3 linked regions of the Notamacropus eugenii genome follow. The protein of the gene in region 1 purifies or fractionates together with the protein of each later gene. This does not show direct contact. Links are inferred from orthologs where the notes say so. Each region holds a gene or a part of one and is shown in the gene's direction. Other genes may lie near its edges.

Region 1 (9,847 bases):
AAGATCCCATAGTCCTTATGATATAGCAGTGAAGAGTGATGTTAATTTCTCTTCTTTAATGTTATTTCCATTGATAAAATGATACCAGTTTCTGGTGTTGAATGTTTGGATAGCACCAAGGACACAAGGCAAAAACTTGCTTTTCTAGGTTTTTCAAGTAGTTCTAACTGTGACACTGTAGGAACAGTTGCCAGACTATATCTCTATATACACATTCCAGTATATATGCAATAAATATTTGCAGAAAAAAATAAACACAAGGTAGTAAAGGAGGGAAGGTACTATCACTTGAGGAGGGAAGGAGACCAGAAAATGCTTTGTGTAGAAGGTAATACTTCAAAGAAGTGAGGGCTTCTATGATGTAGAAATGGGGAAGTTCATTCTCCGCATGGGAAGAGCAGTGTAAAGGGGAGAATGACAGGTGTTGTGCAGTGTGAGAAACAGAAAGGGCTTGTGTGGTTGAACTGGAGAGTGCAGGAAGTAGACTAACAGAGGGTAAAACACTAAGTGGGGTCGAGTTGTGAAAGGTTTTAAAAAGAAAAACAGAAGAGTTTATATTTTATCCTAGATACAACTGGAGTTTAAGTAGGAAAGTGGCATCAGTTCTGAAATTGAGGAAAATAACTTTTTAAAAATAAATCCAAGTTATAGTTTTATTCAAGACTACACAAAGATTTTTATATACTTCAGCGATTTTGGCACTGTTGCTGTCAAACATCAGGCTAAAGAAACCCATAAAAGGTTAATATGGTAAAACAATGTAAGTAGGAAAACAACAAACATCCAGATGTTTGAGACTCATGCTTGTGGCTGCTGCTTTGGAATATGTAACTTTGTGCTTACCAGCTAATACTGTAGAAGTCTTCTGTTCATTAACTCCCATATAATTCTCATAAATGTACAGAGTTTTTAACATATTAAAAAAAGAAAATTTGTCCCCTTGAAACCTAAACCAAGACAAAAGTTCAAATTTACTATTGTGTTATCAGTATTAGGCAATTTTCACTGATCAGGACCATTAGTGGAAAACAGTGACTATGGGAAGATCTCTTTAGCAGATATGTAGAGAGTAGATTGAAATGGAGAGTAAGGAAATCAATCAGGAATTCATTGTAACAACCTAGAGATGATGAGATCTCAGCCAAGCTGGTGGCTGTATGAATAAGAAGACCTGAGCTCAAGTCCAGTCTTTGAACTTTCTATTGTGACCATGGCTGAGCCTCAGTTTTGTTATCTGTATAATTCAGATAATAGCGCCTGTAGTATCCACCTAACAAGGTTGTTGTGGGACTTGAATGAGATTAAGGTATTTAAAGTACTTTATAAACCTCGAAGCACTATATAAACATTATTGATTATTATTTTTATCCTCTTTTTCTCACCAGTAGACTTTAAACTTTTGGGACCACATCAATTTTTCGTCTTTGTATCTCCAGCATTTCACAGAATAGGCACTTCATAAATAGTAGTTGAATTAGATTTGTTCTTTTTCTTTTAATGATACGGGGAAAATTGGTGAACTCACTCCTTGCCTTGCCTTACCTTGCCTTGCCTTGCCCTGCCCTGCCCTGCCCTGCCTTGCCCTGCCCTGCCCTGCCTTGCCTTGCCTTTCTTTTCCTTCTTACCTTCCTCCCTTCTTTCCTGCCTTCCACATTTATATTGGTTTTACAGGGTTCAGAGCGCTGTTTTAAGCAACGGGGGAGATATAAAAGCAAGTGATACAGTTCCTGCCCTCGTGGAACTTATAGATACTTAACTATTAATATGAGACATCATTGTAATCCCTGTCCCAAAGCCTACAAGTATGAGACTTTCTCCTTACTGGTAGAGAATGCCCTTTCCATGTGAGGGATGAAGCAGAGCTGGTGAGAGTTGGAGAGTTCCAGCCTTCATTATTCTTCTAACCTCTTCAAGCTTCTAATGGTTTAGGCCATTTCTGGCTTCTAGCACCTATAAGGAAGATGGAAAAGGCCAACCCCACTTAGATTGTTGAAGGAAAAGAGTCTGGGAATAAATGAGAGAAGCAGACAGGCTCCATCATGTCTATATCCTCAGGTCACTACACTAGAGACTATGAGCAGTTTCCCCTTGGGTGAGGTCTAGGACACTCTTTTGGTTGAGCTGAGTTAACTTGCTCCCACTGGGAGAGTTCTTTTACTCTGTATTGTCTGGTAAATACTCTCTTTTGTATACTTTCTTTGATTTCTGTTTTGCTACTGATTTGGATAAATGGATTTTCTTTGACAGTTGCTCATTGTGAAGCTGGAATTAGGTAGGAAAGAGACCAAGCCTTGGCTGAAGAGCTTGGGGTCTCCCTTCCCCCAATAATGAGATACAGCGATCAACATTAGATCAAACTGGATTATATTCTGTAAACTAACAATAGTTAAGGGAATGATACCTCCTCTCTCTGAGGAAAGTCAAGTGGCCTCTGACCTAAACTCCCTGTTTCCCCTCCTGGCAGGAATTAGTCTCCTGTGAAGAAGGGTGGGGAAGAGAAGAGGTTAGAGATGTCTGTTCTGCCTCCTTTTAAGCCACATAAGGACAGCCCTCACTACATGTAGACCTATGTGACACGTGGGATCTTGCTACATGTGGGTTTTCTATATTATCTTTTGAAATGCATTAGGGAATTGAAAAACAGTGTTATGTGAAGTTTGGGGGCAGAGGGGAAGGTCACTGCTATCAGGATGTATAAAGGAAGGCTTCCTGGAGGCGGCGGCTTTTGAATTGTGCTTTTAAGATTAAGTTTGAAATTCACCAAACAAAGAAGAGAAAAGAAAATTTTCCAGAAGTAGGGAATAATTGGATCAAAAGCTTGGAGATAAGAGAATACAGTCCACATTAATGGGATAGAGGGTTCAGTGTAGATGCAAGGTACAATGCACAGAAAAGAATGAAAACCATGACTGACACCTGGGTATGCAGGGTGGTGCCAGGCTGTGGTGGGCCTTGAATGCTAGCTAGGAGTTGGAGCTTTATTCTGTGGGCAAGAGAGAGCTACTGAAAACTTTTAAGCAGAAGAATGATCTGACTAGATTGATGTGTGAGTCATAAAAATTTCTTTTCAGTGCCCAAGCTCTCTGTTTTGTAGTTCTCTCCTTTATTCCATTGGCATTCTCTTTCTCCTTGGATACCCAGAATTTTTTTCTCTTTCCCTAGACTTGTTTGAAAGACATTCACAATATCTGTTTCTCTTAGGGAAACAGATGTTACATTTATTTAACAAGTGGGCCCCTGAAGTCTCAAGGAACTCTGACTCTGGGGCCCCTTGTGACTTTTCCTGTTTTGAGTAATCAGTTATATGAATCATGGCTCAAAGTCTCTATTTAGTACAAGAGATACCAGTCTAATATTAAAAGCAGTTAATTAAGACATGAAAGCCATGAAAATTTTAAGAGGAAATCAAACTGTAGAATCATTCTCTAATGCCCATCTTTTTGTGAATATAATACCATCATCTTTAGAGGTGGTTGAAGGTGAGAAGGAATCTCTTGGGGAATTTATGAAGTGTGGGGTGGTAGTTGGGAAACTCCCCCTCATTGTTTGGGCAAGTGGAGTGAGGAAGTTGTCAATCAATCTTTGTTGAAGGTTTTCAGTGACCAGCCGTGCTACCCCTTTGGAGTCTGTTGAAGCTCAGTACACATAAGGATTCTGATAGGATTCCTAGGTTTGGGGTCACCATGACAGTACAGTCCTATGTCTTCCCCTCTCTGTATCCCTACTCTGATTCCAGCCCCCAGGTTGCCTCTTTGTTTCCACTCTTGGTAGCTCAGGATTTCTCTTTCCATGCTTACTTCTCAATTTTGCCTGTATCTTTACCAAGTTAATCTCCCCTTCTTTTTATTTTTTTTTAAAGTTCCTTGCCTGTTCTTTCATCCAGGTTCCAGACCCAACAGGAGTTTCCCTCTCTTCTCATCGTGGAACACTGTTCTAGAGTGTTTCCCTTAAAGGTATCTAATCCTTATCCATATTGACTGAATTAATGAAAAAGCATTTTAAAATAACTAAATTTTAAACATCATTTTAACAAAATTGAGTTCCAAATTCTCATTTCTTCCATTCCTCCCCCACCCAGGAGAAGGCAACGTGACACTCATTATACATATGAAGTCACGCCAAGCATATTTTCATATTAGCCATGTTGTTAAAAAAAAAAAGGGAGGAAAAATAAAGTGGAAAAAAGTATGCTTCAGTCTGCACTCAGATGTCATCAGTTCTCTGTCTGGAGGTGGAGAGCATTTGCAAAAGCATTTATTAAGTTCTGACCAAGTGCCAAGCACTGTGAGACAGTCCTCCCTTTTAAGAAGCTCACCTTCTAATATTTGGGGGGTGAAAGACTCTTATAAGATTTGGGAGGATTCAGCTGCATGGAAGACAGAAAGTGATGAAAGTCTTAAGAACTTAGGATAGTGGATAGGATACTGATCGTGGCGTCCAGGAAACCTGGATTCAAATATTGGTTCAGTAATAAAATGTTATTAATGTTTTAATAATATTTTAAAAATATTAAAATATCAATATTATGGGGAGGATGAGGAGAGGGAGTCACTAGCAGCTGGAAGAACGAGGAAAGATTTCAAGTAGAAGGCAGCCTTTGAGCTGAGCCTTGAAGGAAGGTGGGGAGTCCTTGGGACACAGGTGAGGAGAGAATGACTTCCAGGTGGAAGGGGGAGCCTGGGCAAAAGCACGGAGAGGGGAAATGGCAATTCCTAACTGGGGAATCGCGTGGCCTCCTATTACTCTGTACAGAGCTTGTTTTTACTTCTCCGAGTACACGTTGTATCCTCCTAGAGAGCAGGAACTGTTTTAATCTGCTAAAAGATCAAAGGGTTGGATGAGAGGGAGTCTCACCTCACTTGCAGATTTCAATGTAAAACCCCACGACTGCAGGCAGATGGAAACTGACGCTGCAGCGCCCTGGAGGCTGCAGCCCCGCCTCCCCGCCAGCAGGGGGAGACATAGCGGGGTCTGGCTCTGCCGAGACGCGGCCCGGCTCGGGCCTGCCTGAAGCTCGAACGTTAAGTAAGCCTCCGTCTGATTGGGTCTCTGCGCTTCGGGCGACCCTCCAACCACCGGTGGGCTTACGTCACGGCGTCCCAGGGTGCAGCCCGCGGAAATTTGAAATGGCTGAAGGGTGGATGACGGCTGAGGGCTTCGGCGCTGCGGAGCCGAGCCCGGAGCCCAGCTTTCCCGGGGTGCCCGCGGACGTGAAGCACGGTACGCATGCCCCTCGTCCCCGGGGCGGCCGCAGTGAACCCGGCGGGGGCCGCGGCTGTCGTCCGCCCCTGGCGCGTCCTGGCTCCGGGGAGGCCCGGCGGGAGGGAGCCTGGCGGCGTCGGGGCAGGGAGGGCCCAGCCCAGGCCACTAGCGCGTGGGTAATTCGCTCCTGTCTGTGTGACTTCGGTGCGCTCACTTGACCTCTCTGGGCCCGGCCTGTAACGGATGGGGATGGACCGGGTGCCTGCGGCTGACCTCCTGCAGGGAGGGCCCGGCCTGGAGAGAGCGACCAGGGAGGCCTATTGTGAGAAAGAAGCCTGGGGCCGGGGCAGGGGCAGCGTCCGGGGCCGGGGCCGGGGCAGCGGCCGGGGCCGGGGCCGGGGCAGCGGCAGCGGCCGCCCCCGCCCCGCTAGTCTCAAGTGTCAGCTTTTGGGGAAGGGTAGAAGTAGGGCCCGATTTAGGCTTGATGTTAGGGAAAGTTATGTCGGAACGACAGGTGGCGAGTCCCCTTTGGTCGTGTGTCGGGGACGCTGTAGAGCTGGTTAGTGCTCAGGGGACCGACAGACTGGACGATCCGAGTTCCTTCCGGACCCTGTGAAGTGCTCGGGCCGGTGCAGCCCGAGAGGAGGGCAGAGCTTGGGCCGTACGTCTGCCGTTCGGTGACCTGCAGCAGAAGTGTCGTGCCTTAGTGCAGGTGCAAGCTTAGCGAGTGACGGATACGGCTCCTCCTAGCCAATGCTCGAAGATGTCAGACTGGTAGGAGGCTTGCATTCTGGCTTTGACCACCCATAGCTGATGGCCGATAAGAACAGCCAGCATTTTCGTGATGCTTCAAGGCTTGCAAAGCTCTTTTCAAAAACTGCCTTATTTTCTCCTCATGGCCAACCTAGGAGGGAGGTTGCTAATAAACCTTAAACCACTTAAGGCTCTAAGTTCAGGCAGATATCACCTGTGAGCACTGACCGGTCCCACCACTCTAGTTTCCTAAGTCATGAAGCGGGGAGGAGTTTGATTCTGGTTCATGAATCCTTGAAATACAAAATATAAAATTATTATACTGTAATTATGTGTTATACTGTAATATGTAATGTAACGTAGGGTGATCTAGGTTAAGGTCTAGGACCTAGTTTCATGAGAGAACAGTAGACTTGCATTTAGAAGATTCAGTTTAGAGGCTTGCCTCTGACTTTGGACAAACCTCCTTCTTTGGGCATCATTTTCTTCACCTGTCTTGTAAACAGACTGGATTCAGACCTTTCCAGCTCTAATCTGGAACCTGGCTTGAATTGTTGATCACAGGCAAGTCACTTAGGAGTTTGAGAGTAGATTTTTTTTTCCTACTCATTTTACCTCTTGTCTTTTCCTTTGCTCTTACAGTATCTTACCCTGTAAGATATGTATCTCTGAATACATTGTATCCCCTCCAATGTAGAAAATAAGTTCCTTGAGGGTGGGGTTGTATTCTTTCTGTATTGGTATTGTGTCTCCTACTTCAGTACTACACCCCTACTAGTCATTAATAAATGTTTTTTAAGTTGAATTAAATATCAGCTTCCTTCTTTGTAAACTGGAAAAATAAAATACATTTTCTACAGGAAGCCTTCCCCACCCCCACTTAATTCCAGTGCCTTCCTTCTTGTTAATTATTTCCTGTTTATCCTGATTATAACTTGCTCTGTATATATTGATTTGAATGTTGTCTCCCCCAATAGATTGTAAGCTATTTAAAGGCCTCTTTTTGTATCCTAAGCATTTATCATAGTGGCTGGCACATAGTAGGTGCTCAGTAAATAAATATTGATTGATTGTGGCGAGAACAGCCCTTTTAAGCTTTGAAGGTCCATATAAATCTGAGTTATTACCTTGCACACAGAGTTTTTATGAAGAAAGTACTTTGTAAAATGTAAAGGACTACACAAGCGAGTTATTGGTATTTTCATCACTGTAGGGTTTCTCTAGTTTCAACCCAGTCAGTATTTTCATTTCTGAAATGTAGGTCACCATTTCCCTTTATGCCTCCATTGTTATCCTGTGGGGCTAAGGGCAGGCCACCAGGGCAGTCCTAAGACTTGGAGTAGAAAGATCCTAGGGAAGCAGGAGCAATGAGAGGTAAGAGAAGTGAGTGCTACCAATGTTTAGTACATATGATATTAGCTAGCTCTGAAACAGTGATGCTACAACTGTCAATCTTAAATCCATCTGTCCATTGCTATCATAAACACTGATGACGATCAGTTCTTTTCATTCATGTCTGACGCTTTCCGTTTGGGATTTTGACAAAGATGCTGTAGTGGTTTGCCATTTCCTTCTCCAGTTCATTTTACAGACGAGGAAACTGAGGTGAAGAGGGTTAAGTGACTTTTCTAAGGTCATACTTGTAAGTGTCTGAGGTCAGAGCAGAACTCAGGAAGATGAGTCTTCCTGACTCCAGGCTCTTTCCACTGTGCTACCGAGCTGCCCCTATACATTGGCCTATGTTACTAATTGGATCTTGTTATAACACGATTTGTTATTGTATAGAATACTGTTTGGGAGAGAGGTAAAATTGGAAAGTGAGCATGGAAAGATAAATCCTGCATTGCTACTCAACTCATTAAGAGTAGAAACAGAGGTAAACTACAGAAATTACTACAGATAGTAAATGTTTGACATAATTATGGTTAATCATATTCTTATCATTGAGGACTAGCTTGTAGAGGATTTTTTGGACAGTTCTTTTTTGAAGTGCTAAGGTCTCCAGTGAGGAGAAGTCCCACAGCCTACATAAGATGAAAGTAAACCTTTCTCTATTAAAGGTTGTTTTGTCACTGTATATTGAATAAGCACTATGAACTTGAAGTTGTATTAAAAAAAGAGTCCCAGTTCTCTAACAGTGCCAGTCTTTAGAGAAGAAGAGTCATAAATCACCCTTTTCCCTATTCCCCAGCAAATTTATAGTATTGTTATGAGGGAAATACCATATGACTATAAAATGTTGAGTAAATGAAAAGTACTAAATCATGGTAAAGAATTAGAGGTGTATTTTTTGGAGGAAGGCCAGGAAAGCATCCTTTGATGTGAAAATCTAAACTTGCAAAAAACTCTTAGGATTTTAAAGTAGAACTTTTAATTTGATATATTTCCAGGCTTGCTTGGATAAACTGTAGTCCCATCTGACAAGGGGAGAGGTAAATAAACTGTGATATCTCAGTGCTCATTTGTGTTTCTCTGTTGTTCTAGTGAGTAAGTGCTTTAATTTTTGTATAATTGAAAAACATTGGAAGTGTTTAGGAAGTTGAATGTTCTTCTTTTTATTCCTTTAGACTTATTGCAAGATGAAGATACATTCAGTGATTATGGCAGTCATGATAAGCCAGGGACCATTTTGCAAAGGTTTGTGCCAGAAGGGAATGTACCTTTTCCAGACATTTTCCAAACAAATCAGCTTTTGTTCTATGAGCGATTCAGAGCCTATCAAGATTATATTCTAGGTAAGTATTCACTTTGCATGTAAAATGGGCTTTCTTGCTTCTTATATTTTCAGTGTCTTTGCCATTTGGTGGGAATATGGCATCTTTTTACTGCACTGCTATACCCTAGAATCTGCTGTTGGAATTACTGTGTAAATAGAGTTCCTGTTTCTGAGATAGGGAATGAAATCTTTCCCTGCCATTCATTGGCGTGGGACCTTGGGCAAGCAATACAAATTCTCTAAATCTCAGTTTCCTCATTTATAATATGGGAATGGTAATATTTATACTGCTTCAAAGAATAGTTATTACAAAGAAATATGTGTTATTGCATTTGAGAACAGTCTTATCAGTCTGACTGCAATGTTGTATTGAGAATGGAGGGCACACATTGGATGCTTGGGTGGACAGTAGCTTCCTTCTGCTTTCTGTAATATAAATTCTTATTTCAAGTATTTAATTTGTTTGTAGCTGACTGCAAGGCTTCAGAGGTAAGGGAATTCACAGCTGAGTACTTGGAGAAGGTCCTTGAACCATCTGGATGGCAGGCAATCTGGCGCACTAATGTGTTCGAGGTGCTGGTTGAGGTAAATTTAATTCAGTTGTTAAGACATTTGTCTCTAGCTAAAAGCACTTTACTTCAGATTGTTATAGCCAAAGTACTTATTTTTAATTAAAGTTTATGAGCTGATTGAAAATAGCATGTTTTCCACATCTAATTGCCATGGTAGATAAAGCATTCAAGCAAATTTTAAAAGCAACTGAAGGAAAGCTATTTAGGAACCTCAACAGTTTAAGTTTCAGTGTCCTCCTGATAAGGGGAAGTTGGCTATAGAGCTATGAGGCATAGGTATTCTGAACTCATTTAAGAAGAAGGTCTAGTTATAAAGTCAACAGCAGTTTTAATTAATTTTTTGGCATCTTAATTGTAGCACATTAAATAGCTCAAACCAAATAGGCAATACAAGACAGCCCATTTTTTGCTTAACAAATCTGTAGTTTTGTGGTTAATCTCTTGGTAATGTGCCCCAATGCAGAAAGTAAAACAATCTTATTTTTCAACTGACTGAGTTTTTCCCATTAAATTTGCACTCTAATTACAGCTGTGAATTTTCTCAGTGTTTGGTAACTGGACCACAAAAGCCCCTGCTAGACTGTAATGGTAAACTGCCAAGTGT
Region 2 (10,888 bases), about 330 Mb from region 1:
AATTTTAGAAATTTTCTTCTAAAGTAAACTAAGAATTATTTACAAGTTCAAGAAATATCACTTACATTTCCTTAGGGATAAGAACTGGACCTTTGGGCTCAGTGATATATATATAGTACTTACAGATGAGGGAACTTTCTACAAATAAAGTTCAGTTCCTTCTCTGTAACTTATCAACAGACTTGCCTACAGTTAGAGCTTTGAAAGGTTAAGTGACTAGTCTTGGATCACCTAGAACTTCTTGATTTTGGGGGCCAGCTCTATATTTATTTACTCTACCACAACGCCCTGCCCCATCCTCTCTCCTCTCTCCTTTCCCATCCCCCTCTCTCTATGGAGAGAGGTAGAGGGGATACAGATATAATAAGCAGTATCATATAAAATGATATGCAGTTATGTCTTAGTACCATTAGAAAGCTGAAGGAATGGCAAGCAGTTTACTGATACACCCAATAGGAGTATATCTTGTTATCCTCAATTTTCCTAACATTGCAATTAAGGTAGATTATGTTTGGAAGAAGTCATTTATGTTCAGATCATACTGATCACTTTTAATCAGTACCTGAGAAAAGGCTGTAACTCCTTAAGTAGCTATGCAATGTCTCTTTTCTGAATAAATGAACTGATGCTTACTGATAACAATATAATGATAATTTGGAGAACCTTAAATGACTGTGGCTATAAAATTGATATGAATAACGTTTGGTCTACTGATTAGACCACAAACATGAACTAGTTGAATGTTGGTTTCTTGCCAGAGATCCATTATGGATGAAAAGATAAGGTCAACTGAGCCCCCTTTCTAAATAAGAGATGTTTTTCAAATTGTGCTCCCTGTATAGATTTCTTGTTTCTAAAAACATGTAAAATAAAATTTATTTATTATAACAATTCATTTTCCCCATGATTTTGGTCATTTTTTTTTATCACTTCATAAATACACATTTATTTAAGAAGGTTGATGACAGATAGTTCACTCATGTTGGTTAAGAGGGTTTTCCTTTTAGAAATACAGTATCAGAGGTTTTCCTAGATAGAAAAAACATGTCAATACAGCCTTACTCTGTCAGTCTGAGGTGAATTTGGATAAGCTTTATTTAGCTACTTAATTTGTCTATTAGCTCAATTTAGGCACACGTGCCACTGTTGCAGTCTGAAATGGCCATCCATCTTCTATATATCAAACATATTTTCCCTTTGTGTAAACCTTGTTTAGACATATCTACTCCATTAAGACTCTAATGTTCACTTCAGATCAAATAATGGTCAGGAAGTACAAGAAATGACTGTAATTCTTTCAACCTCAAATGGCATAAGAGGTCAGCTAGAAGCCCAAGGGCAATAGGTAAGACAGGCCACCAGCTAAGTCAGCATCTGCTAGTGCCACTAGAGATGGACCTGGGACAGTGTTTCCCAGGAATGCTGTCTAGAGGCAGTATGAGCAGAATCTCCCCCTGTAAAGCCTCAGGGTGGTCAGAAAAGCCTCAGGATAGGAAGCTGGGAACCAGAAGGCATCACTACAACAGAGACCAGAACACCCCAGGCCCAGGGGGCTCAGAGGCTTCTAACACTCTGTTCTGAGATGCTACAGAAGGTCCTGAAAATCCAACGCTCAGAACCTTAAAGATCAGGAGTTCTTAACCTTAGAAGTGGTTACCAGTAGAATGCAGATGACCGAGGATAAGCCCAAAACCATTGCACACAAAAGCACATTAGAGACTGTCACTGTCCTAATTCAAGAGCTAAAGCTGGAGAAATAAGTAAATCAAAGAAAGGAGAAATCAATATCAAAAATTATTGTAAATCTAGAGATTCCCCCAAATGAAAAAACATGTAACTATAACAGCTGCAAGCAGAGGCACCAAGGAAAAGAAATGGATTTTGAAGGAAAACATAAAAAGTGAAATAAAATCTCTCCTGCAGGAAAGAATTGAAAAGGTATTAAATAACTTAGACGAGAATGTGGTAAACTTTATCTAAGAAATAGAAACTAGAATAAACCAAAAAAACCCCAAAAAACAAAAAACCAGTGACTCCATGAGATGGCAAAAATTATTATAACCAAATCAAAAAGGTAAAATACAAGATATTTGTTAATAAAAGCCTACTGACCTGGAAAATAGATCCAGGGGAGATAATTTATTTTTCTTTTTTAAAAAATTTAATTTTAGTTTTCAACATTCACTTTTAATAAGATTTTGAGTTCAATTTTTTCTCCCTCCCCTCCCCTCTCTGCTCCCCAAGATGGCATATAATCTAATATAGGCTAGAAGTGTACAATCATATTAAACATATTTCCACATTAGTCATGTTGTAAGGAAGAATCAGAACCAAAGGGAAAAACCACAAGAAAGAAAAAAACAAAAAAAGAGAGAGAATAGTATGCTTCATTCAGACTCTATAGTTCTTTCTCTGGATGAAGGGGAGGTAATTTTAAAATTACTGGATTTAATGAAAACCACAGTTTTTTTATAAAAGCTTATACACTATAATTTATTATTTTTTAAGTAAAGAGACTTAATTTTTTTTAGTTCTGAATTCTCTCCCTCCTTTTTCCCCCTCCCTCACCCAATGAGAAAGCATGAAAAACAAAACTTATTACAAATATACGTAGTCATGCATGACAAAACTGCATATTAGCCATGCCCTCTTCCCCTCTAAAAAAGCAAGAAAAAAATGCACTCTGAGTCCATCAGCGCTCTCTCTGCAGGTGAATAGCATGCGTCCTTTGGAATTGTGGTAGGTCACTGTGGTGCTCACGTCGTTGTTCTCCTGGCATTGCTTACTTCATTTTGCAGCAGTTCATAAAGGTTTTAAAATCATTTCTTTCATCCTGTCTTACAGCACAATAGTATTTGTCACATTCGTATACCATAACTTGTTTAGCCATGCCCAATGGGGATCCCTTAAGTTTCTTTGCTACCTTAAGATTCTTTGCTACCACTAAAAATTTATTTTTGTACATATGGATCTTTTTCCTCTTTCTTTGCTCTTTTTGGTGGATAGCCTGGAAGAGAAGTGAGGCTGGTGAGCTGCACAGCCCTCCCTCACTCAAAACAAAGTCAAGTGCTAGTCATGTCATCATTCCTCTGAGGGTATGGTCCTCTTCGGCATTGAAGGACGAACACAATCCTGTGAGTAGATGCAGCTGGCTGAATAGGGACCCAGCTAGCTGGGTAACTCAGCTTCCCTTCCCATCTTTTCCGTTTCCAAAACCTTAAATCTACTACACTCTGAAGCTAGGATGACAATGAGCCCCTGCCCAAGGGCTCTTCTGGACCCTCCTTAGCTTTAGAGTGATTACCAATAGTAATTGTTGCTGTTTCCCACCCACCCTGATGTCTTTGTTTTTCTTGACCTTATTAAAGGGGCCATGACCTGGCTACTTCTTAAACAGGACTATTCAATGAATGGGCGTTACCTCACCCTAAGTGAGTGCCTGCAAAGACCTTGGCCTAAAGGGCCCAAGGTCACCTAGTGCATCCTTGGTCATCTCCAGTCATCCTGAGAAATATCTGGTCACTGGATCCAGATGGCTCTGGAGGATAAGTGGCTGGTGACCTTGCACAGCCCTCCCTCACTCAAAACAAAGTCAAGTACAACTCATGTCATCATTTCTCTGATGGCATGGTTTTCTTCAGCAATGAAGGACAAATACAACACAAGGTGAATAGCCTTAATAGTTGTACCTTTGCTGGGGCAAAGGATATGCAGTTCAATAGCCTTTTAGGCACAATTCCCAATTGCTGTCCAGAATGGTTAGACTGATTTACAATTCTACCAATTGCATTAGTATACTTGTTTTTCCCTTATGTTATTTTCTTTTTTGTCATCTTAGCCAATATGATGCATATGAGATGGTACCTCAGAGTTGTCTTAATCTGCATATCTCTATTGGTGATTTACAGCATTGTTTCATATGGCAATTGATGGCTTTGGTTTCTTCCTTTGAAAACTGCCTATTCATATCTGTTGATCATTTATCAGTTGGGGAATGGTTCCTATTATTGCACATTTGCCTCAGTTCCCTATACATTTTAGAAATGAGATCTTTGTCAGAAAAACTTATGGCAAATAATTTCTCCAGTTTCTTGTTCTTCTTACAATTTTAGCTGCACTGGTTTTGTTTGGGCAAAATCTTTTAAATTTTAGATAATCAAAATTATTCATTTTACCTCCTGAAAACCCTTGTATTCCTTCCCTTATCCATAGATGTGACAGGAAAGTTTCCCTCTGATACACTAATTTTTTTATGCTAGCACTTTTTATTTCTAAATCATGAGCTCATCTTTGAGCTTATGATGGTATATGGTATGAGATGTTAGTCTATGCTAGTTTCTGCTAGATTTCTTTCCTGTTCTCCCAGCAGTTTTTGTCAAATAGAGCTCTTGTTCCCTGTAACTGGGATCTCTGGGTTTATCAAACACAATGTTACTGTGTTCATTTTCTTTTGTATATTAGATACCTAATCTGTTTCACCGATCAATCTATTTCTTATTGAGTACCCAACTTTTCTGACAATTACAGCTTTGCAATACAGTTGACATCTGGTACTCTTAGTCCCCCTTCCTTACCTTTTTTTTTCATGGATTCCCTTGATATTCTTAACCTTTTATTCCTTCATATGAATTTTGTTATTTTTTTCTAGTTCTATAAAGTAATTCTTTGATTATTATGGAATTGAATAAGTAATATTGCCATTTTTATTATATTGGCTCAGTCTATTCAATTAATTTTTCTCTGATCTGTCTTTGTCGGAAAAGAGTTTCAAAACTGTGTTCATATAGTTCCTATGTATGTTTTGGCAGGTAGACTCCCAAATATTATAGTGTCTGTTGTTATTTTAATAAAATTTCTCTATCTCTTCCTGCAGGATTTTGTTGGTAATACACAGAAATGCTGACGATTTGTGTGGTTTTATTTTGTATCCTGAAACTTTGCTGAAATTGTTCATTGTTTTGACTACTTTTTAAGGTGACTCCAGGTTTCTCTAGGTAAACCATCATATTATGTACAAAAAATGACAGTTTTGTTTCCTCATTGCCTATGCTTATTTCTTCAATTCTGGACATTATACTTTAAAGAATTATAAATGAAAATTGCCCAGATCTGTTACAACTAGGGGACATAATAAAGACAGAACCTACTAATCATCTTCTGAAAGAAACCCCAAAAGTGAAAGTCTCAGGAATGTCACAGTCAAAATCCAAAAGCTCCCAGATCAAAGAAAAAAAATATGAACTACAGTCAGGATCACATAAGACCTGGTAGCTTTTACTACAAATAGGAGGGATCTTGGAATACAATGTTCCAAAAGGCAAATAATCTGGGTTTACAACCAAGAATAAATTACTTGGTAAATCTGAGTATAATCCTACAAAGAAAAAAAAAGTGAACCTGCAATGGAACAGAAGACTTTCAAGTATTTCTGATTAAAAAGATCAGAGTAAGCAGATTAATAACTTTGAAATATTAACAGTCTAGAGAAACCTGGAAATGTAAGTTTATTTGAAAGGAATTGAACAATGTTATTAACATGGAAAGACAAAACGAGTGTCCCTTTATAACCTTAATCTTTTTAAAGAGTGTGAGGGAGTAAAACGGTGATGAATATGGGTAGGGGGTAGGGCATAACATGGATTTGCTCTGAGGGTTGGAAGGAAAGAAAGAGTAAAAGCAGAATATTACTAATGTGAAAAGGAGGAAGAAGGGCATGAAACCACTATCATAACTGGGGAATAAGAAAAGAGCAACATTGTAACAACAGAGTAACAACATTGTAAAGAAAAGCACCGTTGAAAGACTTAAGCCTGATCAAAGCCAAGATCAACCACATCTCCAAAGGGTCTATGAAGAAACTTTGTTTTCCACTTCAGGACAGGGGTGATGAACCAGCACAAGGGTGGCAAAAAGAGACATAGAATTTTGCTGGCGTACCGAGTTAATTGATTTTGCTTGGTTATGTTGATTGTTGCAAAGGTTTCTTCACCACCTTGCTGAAGACTCCTCCCTCTACACCTCTATTATCGTAATAGCCGGCGGGTGGGCTCTCCCCACTCCAGTTCATCCTCCCTTCTACGGTCAGAGGGATTTTCTTAAAACGCAAGTCTGACCGTGTCACCTCCAGATCACTTCGAAGACAAATACATAAAATCGCCCGGCATCTGGAGCTCTTCATAATATGCTCCCCCCCAGTCTCTCTCTTTCTTTCTCAATAACGAATAACCTGACGCTACCAGGCTGCTTTCCTGGTCTCCAGAAACTCATCATCCTGAAATCCTCTGAGAGACGCAGACAGACAGACAGAATTACCTGCAGCCCTCTCGAGGCTCTGGCTGCCCCCAGGCCTATCACGCTCACGTCCCAGCCTCCCCAAGGCCCCGCTTCTGCTTGTCCTGTCTCTACCACGTCTGTCTACAGCGGATGGCACGCTGCCCACCGGCAGCCTGGGAGCTCCTGGCTTTCGCTTTCCCTGGCACTCGGGAATCGTCCAGCGCTGGACACTGGCTCGGAGGGAGGATGGCGGAGGGGACGGACACGTGAGGGGAGATGAGGAAGGCCGCAGCGTAGCCTCACACCGCTCAGTACGTAGGCAGACAAGACCCGCCACCCAGGGCGTTTGGGATTGCGGGGCGCGAGTACCAGAAGTCGGGTCACTGTTTTCCTTCCGGAAGGGAAGTTTGCCCCTCAGCTGTTGGTTTCCTTGGAAACGAGTCCCACTTCCGTCCTCGAGGGGGGACGCTTCCCGCCCGAAGCCACACTCTTTGCCCCGCCCCGGAGCACGTGGGGGGCGCCGTGGACGCTGATTGGTCCGTTTGAAATGCGCCGGGGGCGCGCGCCCGCCCGGTCCGGTTTGCCTCGCTGGGCGAGGGTGAAGAGAGCGACCGTTCGGCTTGTGCGTCAGGGAGCTCTCGGGGACCCGAGCGCGGCGACAGAGACCCCCCAGCCTTCCCGCCAGCTGGCCCCGAGCTCTCTCCGCCGCCTGCCGCCGATAGAGCGCCCGCTGCGGCCATGAAGCCAGCGTGAGTGTCCGCGTCGGGATAGCGCGACTTGGCCGCTGGGCTGGGGGAGGGGAGGGGAGGGGGCTCCCGGGGGCAGGGGTCGGGCCCCGGGGCGAGACCCCCCTCTTTTCGCCCCGGAACGGCGATCCCCGCGAGTGCCATCGCCCGGGCTCCCGCCGGGAGCACAGCCTGGGGAAGGGAAGGCGAAGCCTTGGGGTGCGTGGGGCAGCCCCCCTCCTTCCTCGGGGCTAGGAATGGGATGCGTCCCTCCTCCGCTCCCTTGTCTCCAGACCTGACCTGGCGTCCTCCTGGACTCCGAAGGCCTTCCCCATGCTTGCCCCGCCCCTTCCCACTGTCCCCAAACTTTCTTCAGGCAAACTTAGCAGAGGAGGTAACGGAGGCCGGCTGCCCTGCCCCCCTCCCCTCTCCCGGTCCGGTTCCGCGCCCTTGTGAGAAGGGGAGGCCAGGCCACCCATTTTTATTCATATCTTTTGTTTTTACTTCACCTTGGATTTCTTAAGTGAAGTCATCCCTGTGAGTCATCTGCCCCTCTTTTAAAAAGGGGGAGAGGGAAGCAGCAGTAAAACCACCCATACATTAACTTTTTCTGATAAGACTTAGTGCTGTGGGAAACTGCTACGATTTGGGGGACACCGTGTTATTTCACACTGGTAGTTCCCGTCTATCACTCCTTTACCCCCTTACCCTCTCCCTCCCTCAACCCCCTCCTGCCCCTGGCAAAGAGACTTCAGCCTTTTTTTTTTTTTTTTTTAAATTTAGAGGTCCTTGGAGGGAGGGTATTGTATGTAGGTCTTTTTTGTTCTGGTCTTAAAAAGGATAACCCTGGTATTGCTTAGAGATGTAGACTGGTGCAATGAAGGAAGAACTGGACCTGTATTTTAAGACCTGTCTCTGCCAGATACTGTATGACCTTGGACAAGACAGAGCCTCTGTACACCTTAGGTTTCACCATCTGTAAAAGGGTAACAGCTACCACTCCTGCTTCACAGTGTTGGCTCTGAGAAAAGCCTTTAAAATGCTAAATATGGGCTATTATTGAGTACTGTTAGATGATGTACTGTCATTTAATTGTCTGGGAATCAGAGTAGTAGAGAAGCTCATTTGTAGGGTGATTATTATCATTCTTTAACTGGAGCAACTCTGTAAACTCTTTACTAAGGGGTAAAAGGTTTGTGATCTGCATCTGTAGAATTAGCTCCCACACCATTAAAATCACAGATTCTTGAAGATAGAAACGTCAAGTCCTACCTCTGACACTGAATGAGCTGTGTGACCATATTATTTAAGGGGAGGAAATGTGACAGGTACTGTGTTAAACACTTTGCAAATATTATTTGCAATATATTTCAAATATTATCTCTGTATCTCTGTATAGAAATGCAGCTCTATGTGTAACTCTCTATAACTAATTATAATTTATATATGAGCTGCTCATGAAGGAGAGTGGCCACTTTCCTAATTAGTAGATTGCTATTGATGAACTCACAGTTCTAGACCAAGAGATAGAAACTATAGACGTAGTGAAATGCATTGAAAATACATGGAAGTAAAAAAGAAAACCTGTTAACAAGTAAGAAATTTATGGTTTAGGGCATAGGTATCTGAATAGGAAGCATAACTTTTTGTAGGAAGGAAATAATGGTGTTTGGTCTGAGCATTCATTCACCCATTAATCTCCCTCTATTTTACCTATTGCCATCAGACTTCTTCCTACCACTTTACTGAAACTGCACACCATTGTCCAATTATTTGCAAAATTCAGTGTTTTTAAAAGTCATTCTTCCTTACTGACCTCTCTGCAGCTTTTGATTGTTGACCAGATGCTTCTATTGGTAACTTTCTTGTTGGTTTCTCATATCCATCCTTGACTCTTTGCTTTGGAAATTCTTAAGTGTCTGTCCTTGGCTCCTTTCAATCAAAAAGAATTCATTAAGAACCTACTATTCCCATACATTGGAGATACTGGTACAAAGAATGAAACAATTCTTACTCACAGGGTACTTATAGTCTCAAAGTGAAACAAGTATATATAGAATCAAGATGGAGAATATATACAAATTGGTTAAATATAAGGTTAAATATATAAATTATATAAATATAATGAGATTAAGAAAGGAGGGAGATTCTGTGAGGCAGAGATGACTGAGGATACTCCATAAGTGAGGGATAGAATACAAAGGACAAAGATAGAATAGGAATTGTCATTTGAGGAACAGAGAGAAGGCTTGCTTAGTTGTGTCCTGGAGTTCAGGAGAGGAAGTAAAGTCCACTGAGACTGGAAAGATGAATTGGGATCAGGTTTCTACTAGGGGCTTTAAAGTTTATGAGTGCTCCTAAAAGAAATTGATTTGTGCTTGTCCTTCATGCTCAAAGAGGACTAAAATGACGTTACCATGTCTGGGTCAGGGTGCAGTATGTCTGACAGTGGCTGATCAGACCAGTAGGAGCTCAGAAGCTCTACCACAGTCAGGCACAAATAGTCCACATGAACATTGCACATCTCATGTTCCTTTTGAGCTGCTGTAATTTTGCTGTGCTTTATGAGCACAGCATCTTCTTGGGTGTGAGCGTGCCATGCTTGACAATCCTGTACAGTGTCTCCCATGTCTCATAATAGATTCCTTTGTTCTTCAGAGAGACCTTGAGAGTACCTTGTATCTTTTCTTCTGACCTCTGTGTGAGGATTTGCCTTGTGTAAGTTCTCCAAAAAATAGTCTTTTAGGCAAACTTAAATTTTTGAACAGTGTGACCAGCCCATTGGAGTTGCATTCTGTGCAATAGAGTTTGAATGCTTGGCAATTCAGCTTGAGAAAGAACCTCAGTGTCCCATACCTTATTTTGCCAGAGTGGTCTTCAGAATCTTCCTAAGACAGTTCAGATTCAGTTTTCTTGAAGAAATTGGGAGCCCCTGGAGTTGGAATAAGAAAGTTATAATTTTGTCAGCAGTTTACAGGGTAGATTGGAATGGGAAGAGATTTAAGGCAGGAAAACCAAGTGATGTAGGCAAGAGATGATAAGAGCCTGAACTAAGTTTGGAGCTTTGTGAGTAGACAGAAGTGGTCAGATTCCAAGACTCAAGGAGGCAGGAATTGCTAAATTGGGTAACTGTTGAATATGTGGGGGGAAGGAAAGTAAGGAATTGAGAATAGTGCCGTCTACCTTGTTTCCCATATATAGAATCTTGTTTTTTACTTTTCTCACTTTTTACTTCTAATCCACTATTAAATCACGTTAGTTCTGCCTCTTTGACATCTCTCATGTCTTTATTCCTTTTGCCCCGACTCTTATCCTACTGCCCTGGCAGCTACATGATGCAGTGAGTAGCATGTAGGGGCTAGATTCAGGGAGACTCATCTTCCTGAATTCACATCTGGTCTCATACACTTACTAGCCATGTAACCTTGGACAAGTCACTTAACCCTGTTTGTCTCAGTTTCCTCATCTATAAAATGAGCTGGAGAAGGGAATGGCAAAGCACTCCAGTATCTTTGCCAAAAAAAAAAAAACCCATATGAGGTCATGAAGAGTCAGACACACAACTGAAAAATAACTGAACAACAAAATCCTACGACTCACCTAGACTATTGCAGTGGTCTTCTTAAAAGTCTTTCTGCCTGCACTTTCCTTCCTCCAACCCAATCATAGCCAAGAATAACTTTTCCAATAACTTTTTACTTGTTCCTTATTGCTTAGTAAACAAAGATGTTTTCTTTGCTTGGCATTCAAGGGCTGCCACAGTCCAGTGCCACCTTACTTTTTTAGCGTTGTCCCATATTGCTTCTTTCTGTGTGCTCAGTTCCCTCTTTCCTGGGTACCCACCTACATTCTCCTGCTGTGTTCATTCTATTCCCTACTCTAGGAATGAC
Region 3 (9,964 bases), on another chromosome or scaffold:
ACCAGGTCATTTCTAAAAAGATTTTTTTCTAGCTTTAAAATTCTATTATTTGAAAAGGAGACAACAAAGCTGAAATATTATACTCTACGCAACTCGGGTTAACACCCTCTTCTGTGTTTTACGTTCCTCCTACAATCCTTTGGTGAAATAAGATTCATTTCCAGCTTACTTTGCAAACTGGGGTGGGGATGAAAGCTCTGCCAAAAATGTTGTTTCACTCTCGGTCTTACTGGATCTTCAAGGGCTTAAAGAGAGAGAAAGTTCACAGAATCATGGGATTTAGAGCTGGGTGAGATAATGCCTTTCAAACCCCTCATTTTACAGATGAGGATACTATGACTCGGGCAGTTCATACAGGTGGTAAATAGAAGAGCTGGGATGTAAACCCAGGTCCCCTGATGCCAAAACTGGTGCTTTTTCCATTATGGCCCATGGGAGAGAATGGGGTGAAAAAAGAGGGAGGCTCCAGAATCCCTAGTCTTGTGCAGTATGGTGGCAAATCACATTGTATGGGTCATCATGCGTACAGTATAACCTTTTTATTCAGGACTTATTTGACTAAGATGAATCTCAAGGGTAGCTTTAAAGGAATTTCTTCTGAACACTCAATCAACAAACATTTGCTGGATGTGCCTACTAGTGCCTACTGTGCCATGTCCTATACAAATGAAATACAAACTTATACTCTATTAGTTTGGCTCCCCCGCTGAAGGTATTTCTAGGATATTCACAGAGAGTCTGTGCCGTGAGAGGGAGACTAAGACCTCAGGAAGAACTGGTGTCAGAGGTTGAATAGTGAATGCTATGGAGAAGAGAGCATTACACTTGAAGACAGGAAACAATGGATTCAAATTCTGCCTCAGACACTAGTTGTGTGATCCTGGGCATTGAGCCTGTTACTTATCTGTAAAATGCAAGGGTTAGATTTGATGGTTAATAAAGTCCCATCCAACTCTAAATTTATGATGCCATAATACTGTGAAATGAGGGAAGGAGGGAGAAAGACAGTAAGAAGCCAGAAAAACAGCAACAAAGCAGAGAAAGGCAAAGAACAGCAAAAGTCAGTAAGCAAAAAAGAAAATGGGAGACAGAGGAAGAGCAGGTGAGACCACGGAAGAAATGGGATTTTGACCCCTATCCGTGTCAGGAAGTCCCTGGGTGCTAACTGGTATCCTTTCCTCCAAGAAAGAGGCAGATCAAATTTGTCACTTCATGTCACAAGGTGAAGTCTGAGGTGGCTGGCAACCAGGAAAGCCCAGTGGACGAAAGGTCTAGGAGGCCCAGGGAGCAGTCAGGCAGAGCCGGAGCCACTGACACACTCAGGCAATCACCTGCATCAGCCCCATTAGCATAAATCCCATTAGCAGTTTCCTGGCAGAAGCTCTGAGCCTGGGAGAGGGGGAGGAGAGGGGTGGGGGCACAAGCCCGACAAATAAGGACTACAATAATGGGAGAGAGGCCAGCGTCCAAGGTTTTCTTCCCTCATCCTGCCAAGCTCCTCCTGGAAATATTGGGAGGTTTGTACCTCTGGATCCCATCCCATCAATCTGGAGGTTTGGAGCAAAAGATGTCAGAAACCTCCCACCCTTGTCTTTACTCTTTCTTTCCTTCGAAAGCTGAATGGTTGATACAGAAAGTTAAATGGGACTTGCCCGGGATAAAGGTGACCTTAGATATGTCCATGCAATAGTTAAGCTTATTGAAAAATCTTCCTTTCCTCTTTCCATAATTTGTTCAGAAAGAAGTATTGTTGGGTTTTTTTGGGGGGGGAGTAAGGTGCAGGATTTCTCGTTGGCTTTATTATCAAATTGCCATTTCTAAGCTCTACCCATTCATACAGGTCATTATTCTCCCACTTTGTCGCTTATTCACTGACACTCTACTACTCTTCATCAAATTATCTTTTACCAGCACCCAACATTTTCCCCAAGACTCACCCATTCCAGGAAACCCATTATTAGGGGGTTCCTGGTTATTCCATTAATTTTTTATTACAGTAACTTCCATTCCCCTCTACTTCTTTCTTCCTAACCCTTTCCTCCTTTACTTCTGTGCATTTAGAAATTGTGTTTCTGATTTTTGCTTCTTATATTTCATTGTCAACGTTGGTACTTGCTTTATCTCCTCAATTAGACTGGGTAGTCCCTAGGTCAGAAGACCCCTAGAATCCTGGGATAAGACTCTCCAGATGTTGGTCTGGAATGGTGACTGAATAACTATGAACAGGAGTGAATTTTGCACTAGACAATCATTAAACCATAGAATGTTAGAACTAGGAGTCAACTTAGGGCTGAAACCTTTCATTGAATTTCCTTATTTTTGTTATAGTTATTCAGTCATTTCAGTTACGTCTGACTCTTTGTACCCCATTTAGGGTTTTCTGGGCAAAGATACTGGAGTGTTGGCCATTTCCTTCTCCAGTTCTTTTTACAGATGAAGAAACTGAAGCAAATTGGTCTAAGTGACTTGCTCAAGGTTACACAGTTAGTAAAAGTGTATGAGGCTAGATTTGAACTCAGGTCTTCCTGATCACCTGACTGCCCCTTTCTTATTTTCTGTATAAGAATACTGTCCCAGAGAGGTAAATTATCTCCCCAAAGTCTGAGCAGGGCAGTGTACAGGGGGCACTACTATATTCCTTGCTGTGGATACCATGCTTCTTTTAATATAAGATTAGATTATATAAGGGATTTTTTTAGCAACAGTATCATAATTTTGACCCATACTGAGTTTGTAGTCAACTAAAACTCTTCTCTTTCTCTTTTTTAATGTGCCCTGTTGATTCTTTGAAACTAGAGCAGGATTTTTAATTTTTTTTGAGTCTCATTTTGTTAGTTTTAGTCCCAGACTTCTGGTCTGTTAATTCTTGAATCTTGTTCCTGTCATCCATCTTCTCAGCTATTTCTCACAGCTTTGTGCCATTCATGAGGATGATGAACATACCTGCTATGTCTTTTTCAAGTTGGGCCAGGGGTGGGGAGCCATATGTGGCGCTCTAGGTTCTCAAGTGTGGTCTTTTGACTGAATCCAAACTTTACAAAACAAATCCCCTTAATAAAAAGATTTGTTCTGTAAAACTTGGACTCAGTCAAAAGGCTGCACCCAAAGACCTACATGTGACCTCCAGGATGCAGGTTCTCCACCCCCGGGCTAGGCACTGTGCTAAACTCTTGGGATCCAAAGAAAGGCAAAGGACTGTCCCTCTTCTTAAGGAGCTCAGATAAGGTGCAAATAACATTGTTCAGACAAGTTATATACAGGATGTTGAAGGCAGGCACTAGAATTAAGGGAGATCAGGAAAGGCTTCCTGTAGATAGCTGAGACTTTTAGGAAGCTAGGAGGTGGAGGTGAGTAAGGAGGTCAACAGCTAGTGAAAATGCCTTGAGTTGGGAGATGAAGTATCTTAAGTGAGGAATATCAAGGAAGACAGTGTCAGTGGATTACAGAGTGGGTGGGTGGGAATGATAGAGAAGGGAAGGAAGGTAAAATATAGGAAGGCTAGAAAAGTGGGGGGGGGTGGTAGTTTATGAAGGGCTTTGAACAGCAAACAGACAATTTTATATTTGATCCTGGAGATGATCAGGAGCCACTGTAGGAGTATGGCATGGCCAGTACTGCACCTTAGGAAGATCACTTCGTTAGCTGAGTGGCAGATGGATTGGATTGGAAAGAGACGTGTCAGGGAGACCAACCAGCAGGCAATTGCAATAGTCCAAGAGTGAGGTGATAAGGGCTGGCAGCCAGGTGGTGCCAGTGTCAGAGAATTTAAATTATGAGAGATGTTATAAAGATGAAATCAACAGACTTTTGTAATAGATTGGAAATAAGGAATGAGAAAGAGAGGAGCTAAAGATAACACCTATATTGGAAACCTGGATGGCTTAAAGTTTAATGATACTCTTTATACTAATAGGGAAATTAGAAAGTAGGGAGGGCTTTGGGGAAAAAGATAACAAGTTCAGTCTTGGTCTTAATGAGGTTAAGATATCTATGGGATAAATCAGTTTGAGATCTCCAATAAGTAGATGGTGATATGAAACTGGAGCTCAGGAAAAAGGTTAAGATTAGGTAAAGAGATTTCAGAATTATCTGAAAAGAGATGATAATTTAAACCATGGGAGATGATGAGGTCACTTAGTGAAATAGTATAGATGGAGAAGAAGAGAGGTCCCAGGACAGAACCCTATGGGACACCCATGATTAGTGGAAGTGACCTGGATGAAGATCTAGCACAGGAGACTGAGAAGTGTTTAGACAGGAGGAGAACCAGGAGAGAGGTATGTCTCAAAAACCTAGGGACAACAGAATTATCAAGAAGAGGGTCATCAATTGTGTTGAAGGCTGCAAAGAGGTCATCAAGAATGAGGATTGATGAAAGGTCATTAGAAGCTGCATTTAAGAGATTATTAGTAATTTTAGAGGGGGCAGCTAAGTGGTGCAGTGGATAGAGCTCCAGGCTTGGAGTCAGCCAAGACCTCACTTCAAATTCAGCTTGCGACACTTACTAGCTATATGCCCTTGGGCAAGTCGCTTAACTGTTTGCCTCAGTTTCCTCTTTTGTCAAACGAACTGGAGAAGGAAGTGGCAAACCAAGAAAACATCAAATGTGGTCATGAAAAGTTTGTCTGGACTGAAAAAAAAAACCTACTCAACAGTAAGGTAACTTTGGAGAGCACAGTTTCAGAGGAATGAGAAGCCAGATTGTGCCTTCTCAAGAAGTTTAGCCACAGAAGATGTAGGGCAGCAGGGATGGAATGGTCTTTGAGCATGGGAAGACATAGGCATGCTTGTAGGCAATAGGGAAGCAGCCAGTAGACAGAAGAGGTGGAAGATAAGTTAGAGTGAGGATGATGAGGGACAGTCTGCTGGAGAATAAGGGAATGCAAAGAGAGAGGGTTTGCTTGGCAAGAAAGGGAAGACAGGGACGAAGGCAGAAGTGGTGGCCAAAGTCCTCTGGGAGATGGGTATTGACAGTCTTGGGGGAAAAAGCCCCTGGAATATCTGGGGAGGGTGGGCAAAGGTGATCTGGTGGTGCTGAAGGCCACGCTGAGGCGTTGAAATCTAGGCAAAAAAAAAAAAGTATCCCTCAGGTTGGTGCTCGGCAGAGGAAACATTCAGGGGTGCTATTTGTGAATGAAAGCCATTTGGACCATGCCAGTATTTTCTCCATTTTTACAGATGGAGCAGCTTAACCTAGGTTCGAATCCCACTGTAGGGAGTAGCTGGGTGATCCTGAGTAAATCATTTAATCACTCTGGGCCTACGTTTCCTGATCTGTAAGACGATGCTCTGAGAAAGCCCCTTCCAACTCGAAATCTAGGGTCCTATCAAAACCTGAGGTCGAAGTTCAGTAGCCCTTGCCCTCAATCAACATGGCACCCTTGACGGCTTTATTAGGAAAGACCGGAGCCAAAATGGCTGCCTGACTGGCTTCGTCGGAGGATAGTGCGCAGGCTCTACGAGGCGTGCGTGCATACGTACATGCGCCCTAATTGGTAGGTTGGGGGAGGAACATACTGCCCTCTGATTGGTCGTTGGAGGATTTCAAATCAGAGCGGGTATCGCGGCGTCGGGCTGTCGTTGGGTGAGGTGCCGTTGGGGAGAAAAGCTCGGACTCGGGGTCCCGCGGACCACCTGGCCGTCTTCGTCCAGGCAAGTTTCGGGGTTGGCTGAAAGGGCCGCTCCGCGTGGGCTTTGTGATAAGAGGTGGTGGCTTTTAGGGTTCCAGCCTCCGGCGCTACGGTGGTTGTGGGGAGATTGGGGGGCGGAACGGAGGCTGCTGTCCGAGGGGGCTGATAGCCTTCCGGGTGATCCTGGCCTGAGGAGCGGGGGCGGAGGTCACGAGGTCGGGTAAGGGAGGAGGGGGATGGGGCGGACCACGGGGGAGGTAAGGAATAAGGGGTGCGTTCTAGAGAGGCTGGGGTACACCAGAGTCGTCAGAAACCGTGGTGCCCTCGCTCCCTGGCCATGCATCCCTTGCTCATGCCTCCGGCTCGCTGCCCAGCTCTAGGAGGTGAATGCGCATGCGGGAGGCAGGGTGGGCCAGGGGCTGCTGCGCGCCGCGGGCCGGCTTAGTCCTGTCGTCTAGTAGTCTTGGCCCCATTTCGCAGATGGGAGGCACTGAGCCTCTGAGGGGTTCAAGGGCTTATGTGAAGGGGATGCACAGCCCTAGGAGGGTCACGGCTGGGACTTAGACCAGGCTTTCGGCTCCCAAGGCCAAGGTTCCTTCTGCTGTGCCTTTGCTACATTCTTACACTTGATAGTGTCTGAATGTCTGAAGTAGTGGTGGGCATAGTAGCACTCTGAGGTTTGCTAAACGCTGTAACAATGTTACCTCATCTGTTACCCCGGGAATTAGGCGCACAGTAGGCGCAGTAGACTTCTAGCCCCAGCATTCCTGTGGGGAATTATTTTTTTGTAGGGTGGGTTCGATGATGACTGTATCCTGTAAGATTGTGTTAGGACGTTTTTCTCTTTGAACTGAATTCCTGGAAGGGTATTTGGAGAATGCTTAGGATCTAGTAACTGATTTCCCAACTAATAGCTTAGTTCTGAAGAAAGAAAGTTGGATTTGATCCAGAGGACCCAAGCTCAAATCCTGACGGTGCCATTTGTTTATTTCCTCTGTGATCCAGGATGTCACCAAGATTTTTTGGGAAAGAGAGCATAAGAAGATAAATAATATAGGACAATCTATACTGGAGGGAGCTTAGAAGAAGGATCTTTGTCCACTTTTCTGGTCAGGAAAGGTTTACGGAGGGAGTGAGACTTGAAACATTAAGGAATAGGAGAATAGGAGGAGCTTTGCATGTAGAAGGCCAGTAAGTTTTTCTAAACGAAGGTAATTCATTTTTTTTTTTCACTTGACCCCTTAATAAAAGGAAGTAATTTTCCTCGCATATCTATACGGCTGAGAGCATCGGTATATATTTGGGGGGACTAGTTACGGTAGGTTGAAGTAAGGAGTGTAAATTTTGCGGGGAGAAATTATATTTTCAAATGCTTTGGCGCAGAAAGTTTTGCAAGAGCAGTACTTTTGTAGTGAAGTTATTTTTCTGGCTAGAGATGGTGCGCTTAGGAATCTACTTGGCAACACAGGAGTTCTGTCGGTGATTTTTAGAAATTTTTTGGGGGATTTTTCTTATTTCTTTTTGTGACAAGTATTTTCATTTATAAATTATCCCTCCCCCACCAACCAAACAAGCAACCCATACATTGGCACATCTAGTAATGTGACACATTATGCATATTTTTGAAAGAAAAAACTGATTTATGAGTCTGTTAATAATGTTGGGGCTGGAGGAGGTTAGGGATTGAGAAGGTGGAGGATAGAAACCTTATCTAGCATGCCCTGCAGTTAGATCTATAATAGTCTGTTATTCTGAAGGAGGGTGTCTGTCTCTTGGCTGGATGATTGAAATTAAATTGGGGCCTCGAAGCAATCACATCAAGCTGATACTCTTGCCTCTCCATGCTAAATTGCTCCCTTAGGGACACTCACAGATTGGGAATCTGTGAAATAGTGACTTGTGCACCGGGAGGGCTTCCCGTCAATAAGAGCTGAGGTTCTCTAGCACAGTTTTGTGGGAAGTGCTTCACAAACTGATTTTCTAACTACACAAAGGTATTATTTCATCTATCCTGAAAAGCAGCCACCTCTGTAGTGAAAGGGATGGCTTGTTTCACAGCCATACAATATTGCACTATAATGTGATTTTGTTTTTGTTTCCTTTCACATAAACATCTTGGAAATAATATTGTGTATGTTGGGGGAGGGAGGGGATGGCTGAGCAATGAAGTACTATTGACTGGGGTAAAAATAATAACCAACAGAAGAATTAAGACCATTTCAACTGATACCAAAGGAGGTAGATAAATTTGAGTTTTACTGAGTTAGAATTTGGCTTTAATATCAGGGTTAATGCTGATGCAGAAATAATCCAAAAATAATTCCTGAGTTACTTCTGTAGAATCTTAATTTTAGAGGTGATAGTTTCTCAACAAATAAAGAACAGAGAATATTATTTGGTAGTATAGTTTAGGGATTACTTTAAAGCTTTGTGAGAGGAAGAGCTGAATTTACTGCTGCCTCTCCTCTCAGACTTAAGTCTTATCTTTGCCAGCTTGTCTGAGAGCCTTGCCAGGTCAGATGTGAATATCTGTTCCTTTCTTCTAGCATAATGTAGTTTTGGGGTAGTGTCTTAGAATGCTTGTCTGTAAAACACTTCTGCTTTTGATGTCGTCTTCCTTCTCCCTTTCTAAAAATACTTTGTGGGAATCAAACAACTTGTATATATTGGAATAGAATGAAGTAAGCAGAATATTACATGATAACTACAATAATATAGACAAAAGGTACATCCAAAGGAAGCCCAACACTGTAATTGTCATAACCGGTCTTAGCCTTGAGAAGAAGCTTCCTTTTACTTAGAAAGTTGTGGGACTGGGTGTAAATGGTTTCATTTTATGGCAGAAATGGATTTATAAGATGGTTTAGCTTAACAGTTTTTTCTTGTTGACAAGGGGTGGCTCACTGAGTTGGGGATAGGGTATATCCAGAAATGAGAGTGATATTAAAACAAAAACCATTAATAAAATGTTAATATTTTGTTTTTACATCCCCTTCATTTGTGCATATATTCATACCTCATTACCTTACCCCAACAAGCTATCCATTTTAACACAGATTTTGGAAAATGTGTAGGGAGTAGTTCAATAAAAACCAACCAACATCAACCAACTATGTAAAGAAATGATGGAGGTACATTTTTCTCAATTCTTCTCCAGGGCCAGGCTTGGTCATTTTAATTAGTATGTAGTATTTTTTTTAAGTGAGTTAAAATTTTATTTAGAAATTTTTGAGCATTTTGTGATACCCCTTTTGGTAACTTGATTCATCTTCAAAGGCAAAGCAGGACTAAGAGTCACTGTTTAAAATGTAAGTAATGTTTGTAAGGATGCAACATTTACCACTAATACATTTGTACATACCAATAAGTAATATACTGCCAAATTAGAAACTGTTGGCAGTAGTAACATGCAAACAAATATTTTTGTGTGTCTGCTTTGGAAGATAACATGAAGCTTATGAGCTAAAGATATAAAGAAGCTACAGATATAGGGAGGTAAGATCTCCCTAAGAGAAATGTTAAGTAACAATAATGAGAAAAGTTAAATAACAATACCAAACCAAATGGCTGATATTTTAGGAAAATTAATTGATACATGTACAGGATGGACTAGACGAGGCAGAGACTGTAGGTGGGATGGTTTGGGCTACATAGCAGAAGTAGACAGATAATGAAAGACATTTGAAAAAAATCTACAAGACTCGGAAGAATCAAAAATCTCTACTGTCTTGAACCTAGAAAACTTGTGGTTCCACTGATTTAAGAACTAGCATTTATATGATATTTTAAGGTTTGCAATGCATGTTACATTATTTCATTTGATCCTCACAACCCTGTGAGGTAAGTGCCATTAGTACCCCCATTTTTACACACGAGGTAACTGAGGCTTAGGAAGGTTAAACGATTTATCTAGGATCACACAGCATAGTGTCTGAGGTCGGATTTGATATCAAGACTTTGGGTGTCTACTGCACCACCTAGATGATTTATCTAAGATTCCCTCTCACTTCTAATCTGATTGTGTGATTCTGATTAGAAGAGGAGAAGTCAGCAGGAGGCCTGTTTAGAAATAGAGTAGTGAGGAGAGAGTACCTTTCAAACTAGACTAAGATTGACTTGGAGAGGACAGTTGAGAGTCAAATGGAAATACTTTGGGGAACAGACTAGAGCTGGAGGTGAAGATTTTGGAGTTATCTGCAAAGAAGTGACAGATGAACAGAAGAGTGAATGAGTTCATTAAGGGGGCAGAGGTAGTAGAGAGAATAATTAATTACAGCTCACATCTGCGTGGGTATGGAAAGGGCTTTGCAAATACAGTTATCTCATTTGACATT

Evidence for each region.
Region 2: the proteins of SHCBP1 (region 1) and KIF23 purify together in Homo sapiens (affinity purification with western blotting; 9 studies listed by BioGRID and IntAct, with this or other methods). This does not show direct contact. The link is inferred for Notamacropus eugenii from reciprocal best matches to the Homo sapiens genes SHCBP1 and KIF23.
Region 3: the proteins of SHCBP1 (region 1) and RACGAP1 purify together in Homo sapiens (affinity purification with mass spectrometry; 8 studies listed by BioGRID and IntAct, counting the BioPlex papers as one, with this or other methods). This does not show direct contact. The link is inferred for Notamacropus eugenii from reciprocal best matches to the Homo sapiens genes SHCBP1 and RACGAP1.

The regions. Positions count from the first base shown.
Region 1 is NC_092872.1:461,188,867-461,198,713, reverse strand, and holds the start of SHCBP1 (SHC SH2 domain-binding protein 1), read left to right. Parts: upstream 1-5,005; 5' UTR 5,006-5,126; coding exon 5,127-5,220; intron 5,221-8,522; coding exon 8,523-8,690; intron 8,691-9,140; coding exon 9,141-9,256; intron 9,257-9,847. UniProt on the Homo sapiens protein: May play a role in signaling pathways governing cellular proliferation, cell growth and differentiation. May be a component of a novel signaling pathway downstream of Shc. Acts as a positive regulator of FGF signaling in neural progenitor cells.
Region 2 is NC_092872.1:132,838,138-132,849,025, forward strand, and holds the start of KIF23 (kinesin-like protein KIF23), read left to right. Parts: upstream 1-6,897; 5' UTR 6,898-7,011; coding exon 7,012-7,022; exon of another isoform or gene 7,023-7,023; intron 7,024-10,888.
Region 3 is NC_092874.1:222,130,037-222,140,000, reverse strand, and holds the start of RACGAP1 (rac GTPase-activating protein 1), read left to right. Parts: upstream 1-5,485; 5' UTR 5,486-5,652; intron 5,653-5,935; exon of another isoform or gene 5,936-6,013; intron 6,014-9,964.